Linked DNA regions of Yarrowia lipolytica. The protein of the gene in region 2 binds, or shares a complex with, the protein of the main gene of each other region. Links are inferred from orthologs where the notes say so. Each region holds a gene or a part of one and is shown on either strand. Other genes may lie near its edges. The genes, in order: YALI1_D06665g and YALI1_C29926g.

What was found.
Region 1: the proteins of YALI1_C29926g (region 2) and YALI1_D06665g are in contact, whole or in part, in a cryo-EM structure (PDB 7LXD), measured with the Saccharomyces cerevisiae proteins. The link is inferred for Yarrowia lipolytica from reciprocal best matches to the Saccharomyces cerevisiae genes REV3 and POL31. Residues at the interface, in NP_015158.1 of Saccharomyces cerevisiae: Glu722, Asp723, Thr725, Thr728, Lys729, His732, Cys733, Phe846, His850, Lys851, Arg852, Lys868, Ser870, Thr871, Lys875, Thr1423, Thr1425, Leu1426, Ser1427, Leu1429, Ile1430, Leu1433, Lys1434, Gln1436, Lys1437, Tyr1439, Gln1440, Lys1443, Val1445, Arg1447; in NP_012539.1 of Saccharomyces cerevisiae: Ser51, Gln52, Tyr53, Tyr54, Tyr57, Gln58, Val93, Leu94, Gln97, Tyr109, Cys110, Glu111, Met112, Lys113, Tyr114, Thr126, Tyr127, Gly128, Ala129, Pro130, Leu132, Thr133, Lys134, Tyr136, Thr137, Glu140, Gly141, Glu149, Glu151, Ser152.

The regions. Positions count from the first base shown.
Region 1 is NC_090773.1:664,405-668,349, forward strand, and holds YALI1_D06665g (uncharacterized protein), read right to left. Parts: upstream 2,160-3,945; coding exon 750-2,159; downstream 1-749. Other genes in the region: YALI1_D06638g (uncharacterized protein), read left to right, coding at 1-364; YALI1_D06682g (uncharacterized protein), read left to right, coding at 3,841-3,853, 3,897-3,945. UniProt on the Saccharomyces cerevisiae protein: DNA polymerase delta (DNA polymerase III) participates in chromosomal DNA replication.
Region 2 is NC_090772.1:2,990,786-2,997,340, reverse strand, and holds YALI1_C29926g (uncharacterized protein), read right to left. Parts: upstream 4,716-6,555; coding exon 699-4,715; downstream 1-698. Other genes in the region: YALI1_C29983g (uncharacterized protein), read left to right, coding at 1-40; YALI1_C29968g (uncharacterized protein), read right to left, coding at 90-518; YALI1_C29920g (uncharacterized protein), read left to right, coding at 5,314-6,114; YALI1_C29910g (uncharacterized protein), read left to right, coding at 6,143-6,263, 6,306-6,505. UniProt on the Saccharomyces cerevisiae protein: Nonessential DNA polymerase. Required for DNA damage induced mutagenesis. Involved in DNA repair, mitochondrial DNA repair and translesion synthesis.

The DNA.
Region 1 (3,945 bases), on a different chromosome or scaffold from region 2:
CCCCGATGGCAAGTACCGAGTGTCGTACGAGGTGATTGGTAACCCCCCCAACGTGGCTGTCCCCACACACTTTTTCAAGATTGTGCTGGCCGAGAAGCCCGTCAAGAATCCCGGAACCAGTGACGTGGCTGTTGCTGCCTTTGTGCTCCCTAACGACGTGATTCCCAACGAGACCAAGCTTACCTCGTTTCAGACCCCCGTGGATGCCATTGAGCGGTCCACCGGAGTCGAGTTCCTCAACAAGATCACCGTCAAGCAGAAGGACCTGTGTCGAGAAGTCGACTGCTCCATTGTCGTACGAGACTTTACCAAGGCCCTCCCTGCCCCTAACGGGTTGCTGGCTCTTCCCGCCCCTGAAAAGTAGCCTACTGTATATAGTCAAAGAGTGTAGAACATATATCATCATGGTCGCTGTGTTGAGTCATACTCGATGTTTCGGAAGAACTGGAACTATTACTTGTGTGATAACGGGGGAAATGTGCCCTAGAGCTCGTAGAAGATGGCTTCATACGCTACACTGTCCAACCACCTCTCACTTGTGCTACGATCATAAAGCCATGCAAGTGCAATATATTAGTTCCTAACTACTTGTAGTCCCCACTACAAGAGGTAGTTTGTCAAGAGTCCCAGCGACAATTGCTGAGAACATGGCATGTATCTGTTGAGAGCGAGAGTTAGAAGCGCTCATCGAAACCCCCTACTTCGTAGTGCTGCTGCCTACCCTCGCTACGTTGAGCTCCGCTCTCCAGCTAGGCGACAATCCTCAGCACCTCTGCCTTCAATGTTCGCATGTTCACCAGTACCACCTCTCCCGTCTCATCAAACCGCGGAACTGCCACCAGACGCACTGACACTCCGTCATGCTTGACAACACTGGTCTGGAACTCGTCCTGGTTGCCGCAGAAGTACAGGTGGGGAGTTTCCTTGATGATGAAGGGATCGTCATCTCCATAAGGATAGCAAGTCAGGGTATCTGGGGCAGTGGGACACAAGTGCCGCCAGGCAAGCGTATGCTCCATGATATCCAGAATATCGTCTCGTCCTTCGATCAGATATTTGTAGATGTCCGACACGTTTTGTCCCGAGGTTCCCAGCACCTTGAGAGGCGCCTCGTCGGTTGAAAAGTCCCACCAGTAGGGGTTGGAAACAGACCCAAAGGTGGCCTTTTTGAACTTGCGGCTCTGAGGGAACATGGACAGATGCAGCGGCTGCTGAGGAAGCGACATGTTGCCGGGATCGTCGTTTCCTGCCATGATATCAACAGAGATGGATGGCAGCAATTGTGCAATGTACTCGTCAACGCGAGCCATGGGCTTGAAGGCGTCGAGGTCCACGGTTCGAGATAGTGTGTCGATAACGGGTCTTTCTGACTCCAACGAGCAGTTGTTTCCGGCCATAATGAACCGCGAAATGTTTTTGGGCTTTACCAGTCCATCTTTTGCACCATCTTCCTCAAGCAGCCCCTGGAGATATTCTGCCAGAAGCACGTGTTTGTAATCCGTCTTCTTCTGGCCAATGTACAGACCAGAAGCAAGACAAATGTATGTGTCTTCAGGAGTATCATTGTCAGCCATCTCAACGTCTTCTCCGTCATTGACTCCACTCAGAGGTCGATAAATCTGTTCGGGAAAGCCGCCCCAGACCACATCCACGACCGTGAAGCGTCCGTTTTCGCCTGCCGTGCCTAGTACTCCACAAACAACGCCTGTGATGAGCATGAACTCCTGCACCTTTGGTCCCACGAGCGTGATTCGACCGGAGCTGTCCTCCAGCTGAATCGACGAATCGTCCTTGTGTCCACCGTCCTCACAATCGCCCTGAGGGTCCACGTACTTGGGCTTCTTGCCCGGAGGAGCTCCCCAATGGCTGCGGGTCACCTCCTCCAACATGCTGGGTTTGTATTTCATGTCCTTGAACAGTGTGCCGACCACAAACACCGTATCCCCAACAAGAACGTCCAAACACTTGTTGAGGTACTTGACGTTCTTATCAGCCCATTTGGAAGTAGCAGCATCCAGCACCTGGCTCATGAGCTGGTGCAATCGCATGTAGTAGATTGGCGCATACTGACGGTTGTAGTTGCGTTTTGTGATGGGCAACGTGAAGCCATCATTGAGCGAGGTGGCAGTAGTGGGCAGATTTGAACGTATCTCCGGCATGCTGAAAGTGTCGAGTTCTGGTATAGAAAGCTGGAGCAGTATTTCTCGATGGATCAAAATCAAAAGCGTGTAAATTGAACTTTAAAAAGAACCCAAAACCCGTGTACGCGAAAAGAGGGTAAGTAGAAGGAGATGCTGGAGCATGGTAGAGGACGATAGCTAGAGGACGATGAACGTCTATACGCAGTTCTTGAGTTGTACTTTGTATGTAGATATAGTTTCAGAGCGATTGAAGTACTGGATACCACGTTATGGCTGGGATGTTGAGGGAACTCCTATCAACTATGAAAGACGCGTTTAGTTGATATCTTTGTTAAAGCAATTATTTTCAGAGTAGAGCTTTCCGGCGATACTCCAACTCGTAGGAACTCTCGGGGAGCGGCCCCAAAAGATGTAGAAGAATAGGATATAACTGAACCATTACTGTAGCCTGCTATTTCAACATTCTCTTGCGCTGATACGGTCTAGCGGTCTCGCAGTGCTGAGGAAGACCTCACGAACACAGGCAAAGTTGAACGTTGGTATATTTATGAGAAGAAAGAGGAACCATGAGCTGTAATGCTGTCAAAAAGTATCAGAAGCTGTCAATTGTTGGGAATCTGGGCCCCTCTCTTCCCCATGGGACGCGCCATGAATCAACATAGAGGAAGTCGGCAGGTTCTTGTGTTATAGGAGTCACACTGGACGGGCAAAAGGAGACAAGGAAGTACAAACACTTCAAATAGGTACTTCTTTGACGCCATTATTATTGATGAAGTACAAACAAACGAGACTAATAGTCTCGGTAACCCCTAAAAAACACTTCATCATACATCCAACAGTTCGCACAGTAATCAACCACATCACGTGAAACGAGAAATATACATACAAAAGAGGACCAAAAAGATGGCGACATCCGCAGGATTCGAACCTACGCGGGGAAACCCCAAGAGATTTCTAATCTCTCGCCTTAACCGCTCGGCCAGGATGCCATGTGTGGACGGGGTTGGGTTGGTGAGCTAGCTCGAGAGACGTGATTAGTAAGCCCGCCAGTAGCTGAAGATCAGAACTATTGGAGATGATCAGAGAGTCGCAAAAACAGCTTATCAAAATACTTGTTGTTGATTTCGTGAAATGCCAGATTCGGTAAGACTCAGGAGGAGGGAACACATGGCATTCTACGTGACCCCTAAAGAATAAACGGATGTATATATAGAATATCATACCTGTACAAGCACAAGGAGAAGTACTATATAGCTCTCCAATGAACTACCTGTATCTACTAATGCCAACTCTCCTAGCTGGATATTCCTTCTTCCAGACTTGTTGCCGAAAGTTCAAGCCTTCCAGTAGCTCCTTAAAGATGCAATAGATCTCCTAAGACGATTCAAACTACATCAAAATAGCCGTCTTAGACCAGAGATTCCAATGAAAAAGGAATTTAGTCGGAAAACACGCGTCCTTGTCAATTCTAACGCACTGCCATTTTCTTTTTACTGTACCTAACCTCCGCCATAATAAGCTCGCGGCTTTGCTTTGAACCTAGAAATGCACCGCCACAAATTTTCAGCCACCTCTGTGCAGGCACCAAGTCCAGATAAGACAATCTACGAGATACAAGCCACGTTTGGGGAATACGATACCATGTCAAAAAAAAGAAGTATGTAATATGTACAGGTTGGGATGAGGGCAGTCTCGACGAATGATGGGCACACGTGGCACTCGTCTTTTATTTGAGAGCAATTCCCCGGTTGAGAGCAACTTCTGGTGGGGTGTCCAGTAGTACCCTCGTACCTTGTAGTGTGTT
Region 2 (6,555 bases):
GGCGTTTTGCGCAAAGGTGATGGTCTTGTTGGAGGAGTAACCAGTGAAGTGAGTGCAAGTACATGCAAAACAAAAGACACTGGCCAGTGCTATTGCAGTGAAGGAAGGACTAAGGATATATATAGATAATGAAGCATTGATTGAAAGTAGGCGTTGGTCTGATGCAGTGAACAGCATGCAGATATCCTTTGCCCTGCTACTTCAAGTACAGTAGTCCATTCAACGGGTCCATCATCGCCTGTGGCGCCAATGACGCGTTCAACATCGCAGTTTCGTCCCAGAACTGGTTCAGAAAGTGTTCGGAAGCTGAGAAAAGGGAAGCTGAGAAAAGGGATATCCTCGCAGACCCTACCACTCGGAATGGGAGAAACAGAAGGTGTCTGTTTCCTCGCCCAGGATATTGCTAAGCAATTATGAATAGCGAGCTCGTGAGGAAGGGCCATTATCGCAGAAGAAGCCCCTCGTGTCACCAATGAGGGTTGGCGCCGTGCTTCTAGATTCTTTGTACTTGGTGACATCCACGGACTAGAGTCAAGACGCGAGCTACTGGTAGGACAGACGCTGATACTGGCACAACTACAGAAACACTTTGGCGCTTCACCCAGGGTTCGACTGTGGTACAGAAGGCACACACGGCAACCAGCGCAGTTATAAATAAATATATTACAATACAAATAAATAAGTTCTCCATCGTTGCATCACCACTCCAGCCCCTCAGTCCACTCCACTAGCCTCTCACTTGCATCTTCCGCCTTACTCACTGCCTTGACCCGTGAGTAGTAAATAGGACAGTCCTGAGACTCGCACCTAGTCTCAAAGTCGCCTGAGCACTGCGCGCAGATTGTGTTGAGCTCATCCAGCCGCTTCTCCCTGTACCTCAGATCGGAGTTAAGCACGAATGTTGCATGACCAGGATCACTCTCGCACGTGGCGCAAAGTTTAGACAAGCCAGACGTCTGGGCAGTCTTGCAGACGATGCACGAGTTGGACACAGCGTACGACTTGAGCGTGGTTTGGTTGGTCTTTGCTCGAGAAACAGTCTGGTAAAACTCGTACCGCCGCTTCTTGGGCATCTCCTCGTACCACTTGAGAACAGAAGCACCCACACAGTTAAAGAACCGATCCAGAGGGGGAATCAGAGTCTTGTGAATGTAGTAGTCGGCGTCGAGAATGAGAGAGTTGGCGTTCCTGACTAGTTCTTCAGGAGAAACACATCGGTCAATCAGCCGACTTTTGGGAGGACCAGCAACAACCACATATGGGATACGTTCCTTGTACTGGGGTTCAAAGCGCATGTCGACTGCCATTTTCTCAGCCGAGATCTTCGCACCCGCGGGCAACACTCCCCCTTCCTTGTACTGGCCTAACTTGACTTCCTTGGCAAAACAAAAGTCCTGAATCGAGACCTTACCAGTTAGAATCTTCGTCCACTGCTCGTAGAGGTACGATTTGACCAGAGATAAATCAGCAGTGTCAAACAAGATACGAAGAGCCTTCTCCTCAATCTTCTGGGCAGCAGGGGTGCCGTCTCGTCGCACAGTTTCGATTCCCTTGGCGTCGAAAATGGGATACATCTGCTTCGAGTACTCCCACTTGTAGCCCACGTATCGCTTCTTGGATATGAGCATGCAAGGAAGATAGACCTTTTCAAACTGCAATTTCATGGGTGCTGGATTGGCAGATGTTATGGTATCAGCGATCTCAGTACCAATCTTGAATGCTTCATCCTTGGTACGACCAGGTAGACATACAAACAACGAGTCTGTATCGCCGTAGACGACCTTGGCTGCCCATTTGTCCGATCCATGGATCACGTCAATGCACTTTTCGAGCGTCTCACGTCCACTTTGAACTATTGCGTCAGCGATTTCGGCACAGGGCATACGTCCAGAGAAGGAGGCAGAAGTGTATCCATATGTGACGTTGGCCACGAGCTTCAGAGCAAGCTGTCGGTTATGGTTGAGTCTCTGGAACGACACATTGTCTCTATCGAGCTTGGCAGTATCCTTGACCATGAATCTGGTCTCCAGAATCTCACCCAGCATTCGAGCTAACAGAGAAACTCGAATATGGGGTTTCACAAACACCAGGCCATTTGGAGAGATGGTCACATCGTCTTTAGTCAGCAACCGTTTTACCAAAGACGGCTTGTAGAACAGTTTCTCCGTTCCCAAAGTGTTTCCGTCCTTTTCAAAATCAGTCCATTTGCCCAAACAGGTGGAGTAGCAGTAATTGTGGGCTAAGATGACGGAAGGATAAAGAGACTGAAAGTCCAGAACAAGAACGGGGCTCGTATAAAGTCGAGATTCGGGCTCCATTACCAAAGCAATGCACTCCAGGGCATTCTGCTGACCAACCTGTTCTCTACTGGGGCTTGCCAGCATGAAGTTCTCACTTTTTGTCAGGCGAGCAAGAAACGACTCGACTTTGTACTGACTGCCGCGGGTGTAGACGGACGAAAAGTCGATTCCCACCACTCGAGCCTGCTCAGCTGTTCGTGAAACAATCTCCAGAGTGCTCAAGAGCTGCAGATTGTAATTGGACCGCGTGCATTTGTACTCCACAAGTAATTTCCGGTCAGACAGACTGCCCACACACATTTCTGTGAGCGTATCGTGTGTGTAGAAGGGAATGCGTTCGTGTAGAACGTGGAAGACGACATTCTCAAGCGTGTATTTCAACAAAGAAACCTCCCCACGAATCATACGCCACAAGTTGAGCACATGACGGCCAACTACTTTGACTCCAGAAGCCTTTCGTGCGCCCCAAGTGTCAATTTTCGAGCTCATCTTATGATGCTGAACCCTTCCAAATTCACATGGGTACAACATGGTCTTGCAACGGTCTTGAACATAGCCCCAGGAAGAAGCTTGGACTTCAAAGCCAGTCAGAATGTCAGGATCAAAGTTCTCCACCATTTTCTGAAGATGAGTGATCATTTCACACTCTGTTTTGACGACAGTGGAAGGTGCTTCGATGATGTTTGTGAAGTCTGGGCAATCCTCGGCGTTGATAATCACTCCACTGGGACCACCCAACATGTGCCAGACAACGAACAGGATTGGGTCAAGATCTGGGTCTGGATTGAGACCTTTTCGAGTGTTCACATGAACCTCCATGCTCATGACCGTTAAAGCAGCCGACTCGTGTCGCTGGGAGAGTGTGTTTTGACTGGGGAAAGAGTACTTGGGCTTCTGGGTAGGAGGCGCTATCTGGGACAGAAACAGATCAGCATTGTTGGTAGTCTTTCCTATCCACTTGAGTACGTCATCACGCGATGGAGGAGACTTTGCCAGCTCAACAACGCCCTTAAGAGCATAGTTTGAGGGCTTTTCGGGGAATCCCGTTGGTAGATACTTTACGGAAGACCCCAGAATTCGAAAAGTGACGCCTCCGTGTGTCATTGTTTTTGTGGGGACGTCTGAATCACGTGAGTAGTGCGGCTTTGGGTAGACTTTCTGTGCCATGTTGTTGTCGTCTAAATCGGTAATACACAGTCCACGCGATGGAGGTGGCTTGAAAGTGTAGACTGTTGTAGTTAAAGTAGCAGTAGCAACAGCAGTACTCGTCTTTGCAGTATTTGGAACATCAAACTTGGGTTTGGTCACCTTGAAGTTGAGTCCCTTTTGTTTCCTGGTTGATGGGGGAGGAGTGGAACTGTGTTTTCTTGTTGCACTGCTTCTCTTTTCCTGGGACATGGAAGGAAGATCGTCAAAGGACACATCAAACACAAAACTGTCCACTTCTGAGGCACCCTCTCCCTTGAACATGCATTTTGTCGTTTCAAACGCTGTGGGAACGAGATTGTCGTATGGCCTTTTGGGCCAGAACTGCACGTATGAATGGGCCGAGTCTGCCTTGCTCACCTTCTCCTCCAACTCCGAGAACATGGACTGGGCTGAAAACCACTGCTCCCGCGGGTCATTTACAGTCCTTTCTCCATAGTCACTCTTGTACTCGCCTTTGCTGAACTTGTCTCTAATGCTCTGTAAGCTCGTCCACAGCTCTTTCAGTGAATGGAACGCCTTGTCCCCTGGCTTCTTGTTGGTCGAAATCACCAGTCGGTTTAAGATGTATTCGGCCTGCAAGTCAACCTCAAACTCCGACTTGGAGATCATACCTTCCCTTCTCATCATGTACCTGGACGCCTCCATCCATCCACAACCATGCAAATTGTAGTCGCAAAAGAATTGCAAAATGTAAGACAAGTGGCTCTCAAACACACGCGAGTGGTCCCATCCAAACACACCGTTCCTGAACATGTCCACCAGCATTCCAACATGACTAGGGTCCACCACCACGATCTTCAGGTAGTATCTCCATCCCTCATGGTATCCGTAGAATGGTGTAGCTTTGCATAGCACAATGTTGGCCAGAAAACTACACTCCTCGGGTAACTTCTCGCCACGTGTCCTCTTGGAACGGAGTTGCAGGTTGATTCGGCGATACATGTCTGCTATGAACGGCTCCGAATCCGCCGGACTTAAGGAAGGACCGGTGTAGGGTATGTAAAAGTATTGGAAGACGTTGTGCACATGTGCGCAAGACGAAAGACCGTCCGAGGTGCCTCCAAATATCCGCAGCACTGGAACCCGGTGTAGATCTTTGTAGTCGCATTCGCAAGATACCGTTTCAGGCACCTTGGACCAGTCCAGCGGCCCCGGAGGAGCCATTACATAGTCGATGTAATTTATCTGGATGCGCAGTCCCGACATGGTGGCGCTCGTGTGAGAAAAACCAGTTGTTTTGTGCCGTTTTCCAAGATGTTGCTATCGGACGTTTTTTCACTTGTTTATGTTGTTCATTATTTCGCATCTACCTGCATGAACTTTGTTTGACGCGACGGACGTGATCGAGTGAAGGGCGGAGGCGTTAAAATGGGGGCGGGGGAAGTTTCAGGGAGCATTTACGAGCTCAGTAATGTTAAACTTGGAACATAAAAGTGATTGCAAGTCTCCCGTTCGTTTTTGGGGCTATTTCTGGTCGCAATGGTAAATGAGAACAATTCCAAGTAAAAGAAAGCCGGGGGTTGATTACTTCTGTTCAAATTACTTAAAGAAGTGATTTCGCTTTTGACACTCTGTTTCGGGGCGTTTTGAATGGAAAAATTCCACTAGCAATTAATATGACTATGATTACTAAACCATCTTCAATATTATCCATATAAAACGCCCACATATCCTAGTACAAAGTCGTCTTCTATCGCTTCACAATTTCACTCTCATCAAATAAAATAAACTCCACCACCTAAAACCCCAACTCTAGATCACCACGTAAGCAGACTATCTCTCTACACCTGCCCAGCACCCCAATATGAACACCATCTTGTCAAATCTCGGCCAAACAGCCTCAGAACTGGCCCGAAAGGCCGCTGTTGACACGGAAGAGATTTACACAGCCCTGGACGACGACTCCGGATACCAGATCAACGAGCTGTCGACACTATACGACGATGGAGATGCGTTTGTGCTCGGTCTGCAGCGGTTAAAGGCCGACAAGAACCTCGAGCGAGCGCGAGTGCTCAGCCATAGCTCGGCAACACCGGTGGAGAAGCAGGACCTGCGGAAAATTGGCACCGATCTGCTGTTTGTCCGACAATACGAGCTCGAGGTGGACGGACGAGAGCAGCAACTGACCAGTCTCATCAAGCGGCGAGAAACGGAGGAGATTGAGCTGGAGCGGGAACGGCAGGAGCGTGAAGCGCTTCTGGAGGGAGACCAGGACCTTACCCCTCAGTCACATGGCTTGAGAAAACGTGGTGCTCACGGTAGCATGGACAATGAAATTTCCCAGGATGCCACACTGCAGACTAAGCTGCGGGTGGACGAGAACGAGCAGGATGACATTGCTAACGACGTGCTTTCATTGGTGCGAAGAATGAAGCAGAATGCTGTGGATATGAACCAGAAGCTGGCCAAGGATGACGCAATGGTGAAGGATACAGCGGCCGCTCTGGAATCGTCGTCTACAAAGATGGGATCCGTGGGACAGAAGATGAACGAGTACCAGCGGACTGCAGCTATTGGTTACTTCTTCTACATCAAGGCGGTGGTGTTTATGGTGGTTGCTGTGGCGGGAGGTATGATTATCATTCGGTTGTTCCCTAAATGGTGAGCGTGACGGAGCCATTTTGGTCGAGAGCATGTGTGATGGGACTTGGGAACGTGCCATTGAATGTGACACAACACCTGAAGTCATGCGCATGCCAATCTGTCATGAAGAACCGCTGCGTTCGCACCACCTCTCTGGAAGCTGGGCACTTCGTTATACAGCACCGAAGTCTGTCCTTGCCTCATTCTGAAGAGAGGGCCGCTTCCCACACACACACAAACTAATCAATCATTCTTGGTATGTTTCCCATTGTGCATCCAAGACCCTAATTTATAGCCTTATCAAGTACAAGTACAAGTACAAGTACGATTATTGTAAGGAATCTGAACCGGTATGGTGGAGATGCCTTACAGTACTGTGTTGTACAAGTGACTTTAGAGGAGACTGTGGGTAGTAATAAACATCTTGCGCCAACATTCCCCAGTATCCACTGGATGTTCTAGT